Notamacropus eugenii: one gene and its partner. The protein of the gene in region 2 purifies or fractionates together with the protein of the main gene of each other region. This does not show direct contact. Links are inferred from orthologs where the notes say so. Each region holds a gene or a part of one and is shown on either strand. Other genes may lie near its edges.

The links. The genes of interacting proteins can lie anywhere in the genome.
Region 1: the proteins of ANKRD28 (region 2) and PPP6R3 purify together in Homo sapiens (co-immunoprecipitation; 3 studies listed by BioGRID and IntAct, with this or other methods). This does not show direct contact. The link is inferred for Notamacropus eugenii from reciprocal best matches to the Homo sapiens genes ANKRD28 and PPP6R3.

The regions. Positions count from the first base shown.
Region 1 is NC_092873.1:20,819,366-20,823,117, reverse strand, and holds the start of PPP6R3 (serine/threonine-protein phosphatase 6 regulatory subunit 3), read right to left. Parts: upstream 2,918-3,752; 5' UTR 2,911-2,917; coding exon 2,899-2,910; intron 1-2,898.
Region 2 is NC_092874.1:38,160,817-38,164,568, reverse strand, and holds the start of ANKRD28 (serine/threonine-protein phosphatase 6 regulatory ankyrin repeat subunit A), read right to left. Parts: upstream 2,601-3,752; 5' UTR 276-2,600; coding exon 159-275; intron 1-158. UniProt on the Homo sapiens protein: Regulatory subunit of protein phosphatase 6 (PP6) that may be involved in the recognition of phosphoprotein substrates. Involved in the PP6-mediated dephosphorylation of NFKBIE opposing its degradation in response to TNF-alpha.

The sequences.
Region 1 (3,752 bases), on a different chromosome or scaffold from region 2:
ATGACATGACTCGCACTTGACTTTGTTTTGAGTGAGGGAGGGCTGTGCAGCTCACCAGCCTCACTTCTCCTCCAGAGCCATCTGAATCCAGTGACCGGATATTCATCAGGATGATTGGAGATGACCCAGGATGAGGCAATTGGGGTTAAGTGACTTGCCCAAGGTCACACAAGTAGTGAGTGTCAAGTGTCTGAGGTGAGATTTGAACTCAGGTCCCCCTGACTCCTGCACTGGTGCTCTATCCACTGCACCACCTAGCTGCCTTTGTAAGATGGTAACTATTTCCTAGAATGTGGCTTTGGTAGATAGCACAATCACTCCCAGCTGAAAACATTCTCTCAGAGGTGATGGGACTACAAACCGGGCCCACCTGATACCCATTGCCTTCTCAGCCTTATCTGGTGCTGTCAAAGACAGTTGACCCACAAGGAAGTGTAAGAGAACAAGCCAAAGCCCAAACTTCCAATCCCTGAGATAAAAGGGCCTGCAGAAGTCCCCATCTGGCTACAAGGATGCTTCTTGGGACACTCAGCTGCCACAAGTCCTGCTTGAGCTCACAAAGAACTAAGGCTCTCTGCTTGGAGAAGGAACAGGATGAAGAAAGAAAAGTGGACAGAGAGACAGGTTAAAGAAATGATTGTTTGAAACAGACAAAAAAAAGTAACAGCAACCAGTCTCTAGCTGACAATATAATTCATGTAAAACAAAGGCAGCCATGACATCCTCACTCTCTTTCAAGAGCACCCCCCCCACACACACACACACACACAATAAATTCTTTCCCAAGTTCCTTTATATCAGTAACACACTAATTACTGTTTTGTTCAGGATTATTTTCTAATACCTCTAAATTTGTGAAAGGTTAAAAATCTGAAGAAACCAAGCATTGTCTTTACTATTTTATTTTGGCCTAAAAGACTTAAAAAGAAGGGAGACAGGCAAAGGATGTCAAGGAGGAATCTTAGAGACCAGCAGCTGGTTGCCATGCCCATCCCCCCCAAGGGAGGTGAAAGAAATGATCAAATGTTTCAGCCACCAAGAAATTAGAAGTCTGAAGGGCTCAGGATGTCATTGAGATATCTGTGGCTGAAACAAAGAGGACACACTGGAACAAACTTCTCATTTCTCCCCAGGCAGCTCACCAGGGAAATAACATCTCCATCCCAGAAGGTCTTGGTCCTGGGGCTTGGAGAGTGGGACCCACAAACTCAGCCTCCATTTAAGGGAGGGGTTCAGCGTGCTAACCCTAAATGTGCTGTTCCACTAGCCTTCCCCCAGGTCTTATTGCACCGCTCCCCTAGAGTGTAAACTCCTTAAGGGGAGGAATTTTTTTTTTTTACTTCAATCTGCACTCCCAGCACTGAGCAAAGTGCCTGGAATACAGGAGGCATTTAATAAACATTTATTGACAAGTCCCACAGGAACTCTAGACCTCTAAGACAGTAACAGAAATTTCTTCTAAATTAAAAATATTTTCCTCAACGCTTAGACCACCAGTTCTCCCCAAACTGTTCATCACAAACATCAAACCATGATTTCTCGTGGCTGAGTGCACTAGAAGCAACTGCTACTGAGTCTTCAGTTTTCAGTGATTTTTGTGCCCCACTCAAAGCATTAAACACAAAAGCCAACTGCTGAACTAGGCTAAAAGATCCAATCTGTGGGGCCCACTTATTCAGAATTTTGGCCCCCAACTTAGACCAGTCTCGCAAGTCCTCTGAAGTCTCACTGTGGTGTGGAAATGACTGGGCCTGGAGTCATGAAGACTTGAGGTTCAAATCCAGCCTCAGTTACTTCCTCAACGTGTGAACCTGGACAAGTTTGTTCTGACTCCGGGAGTCTGAATCAGACAACTGCAAAGTGCTTAGCACGGTGCCTGGCTACAGTGACTGCTACAGAAATGTTAGCTCTTCTTTGGTAGGCACAGAGGGCAGGCCCAATGCCAGGATTGAGGGTCTTTCACAGGAGAAGCTAGATGCCAATTCAGGGGCAGGAGAGTGTGGGATTTGGCCACAGCAACCACCATAGAAAGGTCTTAGTAATGCCTTGGTTTTTTTTAATAACTTCATAAAAATATCCATTCTTGATGTCAAGTTACTGACAAACTAGATTTTTAAATCTGACTCTGATGCCTATAGATTAAAATGACACATTCAGGCCACTTTCAATCTTGGAAGGAGTTGCTAAAAAGCTTCGGCTTGAGTTTTCAAATGAACTTTTTCTTTTTACCTAGTAATACTGATCTGTTCCAGAAAAGTTGGCTACAAACCACAATTTGTGATAAAGGAATCACTTTCTCAAAGGGAAATGAATTCTGTAAGGCAGTCTTTAAATGGTCCAAGAATTCTTAATTTTTCACATCAAGATACCAATAATCATTGGTGCTACTTAGAAAGACAGAAGCTATCATCAATGAGTTCCCAGTCCTCAGTTTTAATTTTTACTTCTAAAAATCTGGAGCACAATTAGGAAGGACTCCTCCTAGAAGCAGAAGTTAGAGCAGAAGCTCCTGCCTCTGAGAGCAGAATGCATGCACAGACACACACATGGACGCACAAGCGGACCCACACATGCACGGGCAGACAACACGCCCACAGGAATGCATACAGGCACGCACAGGCACGCATAGGCACATACAACACTGGTATAATCTGAAATGTTAACAATTCTCTAACAACTTGTTTTCATCAAATCAGCCTTTTTACCATCAAATAATAAAGCTGTTAGGGGACTCAATTCCCTGCTGTGAAGGTATTTGTGACAGAAACTCGGCCACCATTAAAACACCTGAAAACGACCAAATTTTCTATTTGTGCACTAAGTGAACAAAGACACATTTCTAAGGCTACTAGCTGATCACTCAATTTAAAAAAAAGATGAAATAATGAAGAAGCATACTACTGCAAACATGTCCCTGAGTTCTTTGAGAAACTCCCTCCTGGGCGAGCTGACATTAGGGTGCCTGTCTCTCGCTCTGTCTCTCTTGGGCTGGGGCCAGGTGCAGAGTTCAGTTTATTCCGGCACTTTTCAACAGGAGCCCAGGTCCCTTCGAATAAGGAAAAATAATGCCATCAAATGTGCTAGAGGAAGCTGTCAGAGTACCGGTGAGCACAATTACTACATTCTACCCAAACACGCAGCAATGGGGAGGGGAAAACCTCTGAAAAGCAGAATCAAAAAACTGAATCTCCCGCCTACTCTAAACACAATCTGTACTTCCTACAACAGAGGAGACGACAATATCCTTTCAAGCATTTGTGTGATATTTGAATAATTTCATAAATGGCTCGATGGAATTCTTCAAATTCCAAATCTTGACATAGTGGGTTTGACAATGAGAATTCCCCTCCAGTGCTCCCAGCTCACATCAGGCCCTGGTGGAAAGGGGACAGTGAATGAGTGCAGTCACGACGCTGGTGATGCTGACAGCTGACGTTTACCTAGGCCCCAGTTTACTCAGTGCCATGCACTAGGCTAAGCACTTTACAATACCTCACTGGATTCTCACAACAGCCCTGGGAGGTAGGTACCAGTGTGAGCCCCATTTTACAGATAAACAAACAAGCAAACAGGGTGAAGTGACTTGCCCAAAGCCATACAGCTAGGGAGTGTCTGAGGCCACATGGGCCTCCTAGCCCAGTGCTCTATGCACTCTGGCACCCCCTAGTGCCTGTACAGGACACAAGCACAGGAAACATGCACAACAGAGGAGCTTGCTGCCAACACAGCCCACACCTCAGGGTGCCTCAGTC
Region 2 (3,752 bases):
ATCAGAAACATATTCACTTTACATTTTGACATGGTAGATATTACTGCAAACTGAAAACATAAATGACTAAAAAGTCTATTATTAAAAAGCAAAAAAAAAAAAAAATCACTCATATTACACCAGAATACAAAAATACTTAAGAAACTATCACATCTTACCAATGCATTTCCAGAAGCTGGAGATGGAAGGAATTTATTTTCCTGAGGCAATTTGGAAACAAATGTTGGAGATTCATCTTCTATCTCCTCCAAAACAACAATACACACCCGACTCATTCGTTTAAAACACTAAATTTCAAACTATATAGCAAAAGTTACAGTTGATATAGCACAGGGAGTATGTCTTTCTCTTCTGTACACACTTGCGAACATTCTGTGTACTACAGCTGGCATTTAAAAGTTAATTTTAAACTTCAGTTTTTCCAGTGGTGACTGACCCCCTACAGTTTTGAAACATCTCTAAAATTGCCAAGTCCTATTATTCTGTTCAAAGTCACTAGTTCTTTACTACATAAATTATTAGTAAAACCCAAAACAAAACCTTTGTAAATTAATCTCAGGTATAATCTAAATTCATTTGAAAAATTATCCTTTAAAAAAATTATGCCTTTTTAGTATCCCTTGTCTTCACAGCAGAATTTTGTTAGCACAGAGAGGTCATTGTTTGGGGTGACATGACACCACTTTGTATTGACTGAAAGGAGAAGCAACTGCAGTGACAGAGTCTATCCCAGTTATCCTCAATTCGGGCAAGGTCAATTTGGTCACGTATAGCTGGCTTTCTTTGATCAAAACAAATTTTAAAATTTCACTATTCTATCTCCATCTCAGAGTCAAACCTTCATTTCTTCAGTTTCACTAGTCTTAATGCTGATATACTCCAGAAAAAATTCATCTGTGCTCAGCACAAATTCAGAACATGGAGCTCAGAGGTTGACAATTCTTTCTACGTTTAAAAAATAAACCCACTCTTCTGCATCAACAGCAAAGCTGCAATACATTTACAGGCAATGAGTCAGGTCACGAGGGACAATAAGAAAATTCTTGGTGTTAGAATATGGCCTGTTCAATCGAGATTTCCCAAACGGCAAGCATGCAGAGAGCTGTATTTTCATCAATAGCACAGGCAATGCAGAGCCCTCATTCCTCCTCCATCAAGCAGCAGTTGGCTGTGGCTGTTCTAGCAAATAACCCACAACAAGAAGGGTATTAGCAAAATAAAATCTTAACGGTTTAAAGAAGCTACGAAGCTCAAATAACTGTTCAAATCACTGCTTCGACCTTTTCCTCTACAAAGTAGTTTATCACTTGAGTGTTTTCCTTTGATCTCTGCATGAATCCAGCTTCCATTATACAGTCCTCCTTCAAGGGAAAAAAAATCCTCCGTGCATCTTCTTTCCGACTACTCTTTTATTCAAACATCTGGGTCGGTGCCAATCCAGCTTCCTTCCACTGCTAGCCTTTTTAGTAGATTTCAGATGTTTCTGTGTTCAGTAGATGATTTTGAAAAAGCCACAAACCCCTTGAATGAACTGATCATTAAAAAGAAAGACGAAAAATCAACCACAGGACCTGAAAAATCAGCCCCACAGCAGCATTCCGACTGAGCCTAGTCTGAAGAGCAGACTGCAGACCCGCAGGATAAAATGCCTAGTAATGCTCACATGTTACACTTACCACAGAACTGAGCCACTGCTCAGGATGTAACTTCCTCTAGCCACCCCCCAAAAAGGGCCACATTTGTAAAGTCTTCACAATTAGAATGCCCATGCCAGTTCTGTGACTAATTCAGATCAAACTAAAAAATTCTTTAGCTGAAAAATGAGCGTGCTTTTAACATTTTCCACTAAAAGCCACAAAGAAATCTGGTATCCTGGTATACTGCCTCTGCTGACTAACATCCATTTATGCAAGTAAACAGTTCCAAACAGCTTAACTGTTTTCATATGTTACTGTATAGAAGCCACTTTAACCCTTTCATGCTAACCAGAATTGTTAAAATAGACGTCCTGGCAAAACTGGTATCAGTGTACTGGGATGGGATTTAGAGATAAGAGAAAATCTGCAACCAAATACAGACATTTGCCTAGACAGACACATCCTTAGGCTAAACTTTTGTTATTTAGAAAGACAATTTTGATAATTACAAGGCAACAAATATTCTTCAGGAAATTTCAAACCAAAACTATCATTTTTTCCTACAAGCTAGATAGTACTAGTAAGTGTATAACCTCCTTACATCTCAGTATCTTCATTAAAAAAAATAGGGATAATACACTTCAGCTAACCACATTCATCAGTACCTTAAATGAATGAGTTTTCTGTGATTCTTGTAAATTTATCATTTTGACTCACATCTATCTAAAAGTAGCTGTACTTCCCCTAGCATTTATTAAATACCTACTATGTGCCAAGCACTATGCAAAGCGCTGGGGGTAGATAAAAAAAGGGCAAAAAAAAAATAGACCCCGTTCTCAAGAAGCTCACAGTCTAATGGGGGAGACAATATGCAAACAACTATGTACAAAACAAGATATGACAAAAAAATTTCTGGAAATTCTTCTATTCACTGACATACATATGTATATATGTATATATATTATATATATACACATATGAGACAAGTTTCTTACTGATATTAATCCATGATTCCTGCATATTAGCAAACAGGCACTATCCCTCTACCAGTGTCGGTCAGATACTTCTATATAGCAGCTTAGGAAGCAGGACTTACACCATGCTGCCTCTCCGCTTATTACAGAAATGAAAGACAGAAATTAGGTTATCTATTTAAGATATCTTCCAATTCAAAGTATCACATAAAATTTCAATATGAAGACATTCACATAATGTGGGCAAAGTCTTAAGAATCTGTACTACCTTACTTTCAAGTGATGAAATATGGGAATAAGGAAGAGTTAGGTAAGCATTTATACAGTACCATCTATGTCCCAGGCACTGTGCCAAACATTTTTATTAATATCATCTCGTTTGATCCTCAAAACAACCCTGAGAGATAGTATTATCACCACTCTACACTTGGGGAAATTGAGACAAACAGGTTAAGTAACTTGCCCACGGTCACATAAGTAAAGTTATCTGAGGCCAGGTTTTAAACTCAGGTCTTCCTGAGTCCAGGTCCAGGCTCTATTTACTACCCCTCCAAATGTGTACCTCAATCAAGAGTGTTATTTAATTTGCTCCCAGGATATGCTCCCTCCTTCCTCAGTGAGTCTTTCTCCACCACCCCTTCTACTCTCTTACTAGGCGACTGGAACACACATGCTCCCACCTGGTTGTACCCCAAGGTACGACAATTCATACCTCAAAACCTGCTCTGAGAGGGAACTGGAAGACTTCTGGCTTTTCATTGCCACTTTCAGACTCTCCCTCTACTATCATCATTCAGCAACCTCTTCTTGAAGGTACAAGCTTTCCAAATTTATCCCCCAATCTGGATCCTTCCAAACCCTACCCCTCACAATCTCCCTTCTTCCCTAATGAGTTGCCTGACTAAATAATCTTTCATAATCTTACATAATCTTTCTCTCCACAACTCCAGCCCTCAAACTGAAGACTTCAATACATATTGGTTAATGCTTCCTCAAGCACCTTAAAATCATGTGCTCAATTCCCAAGACCAACTTACTCCTTCATGTCAACTGTGACCTTGATAAGGCTATCACAAAATAAGTGGTTCATGTCCATATTAACTCAGAAATGTCTTCATCTCATCATACCCATCTTTCCCCA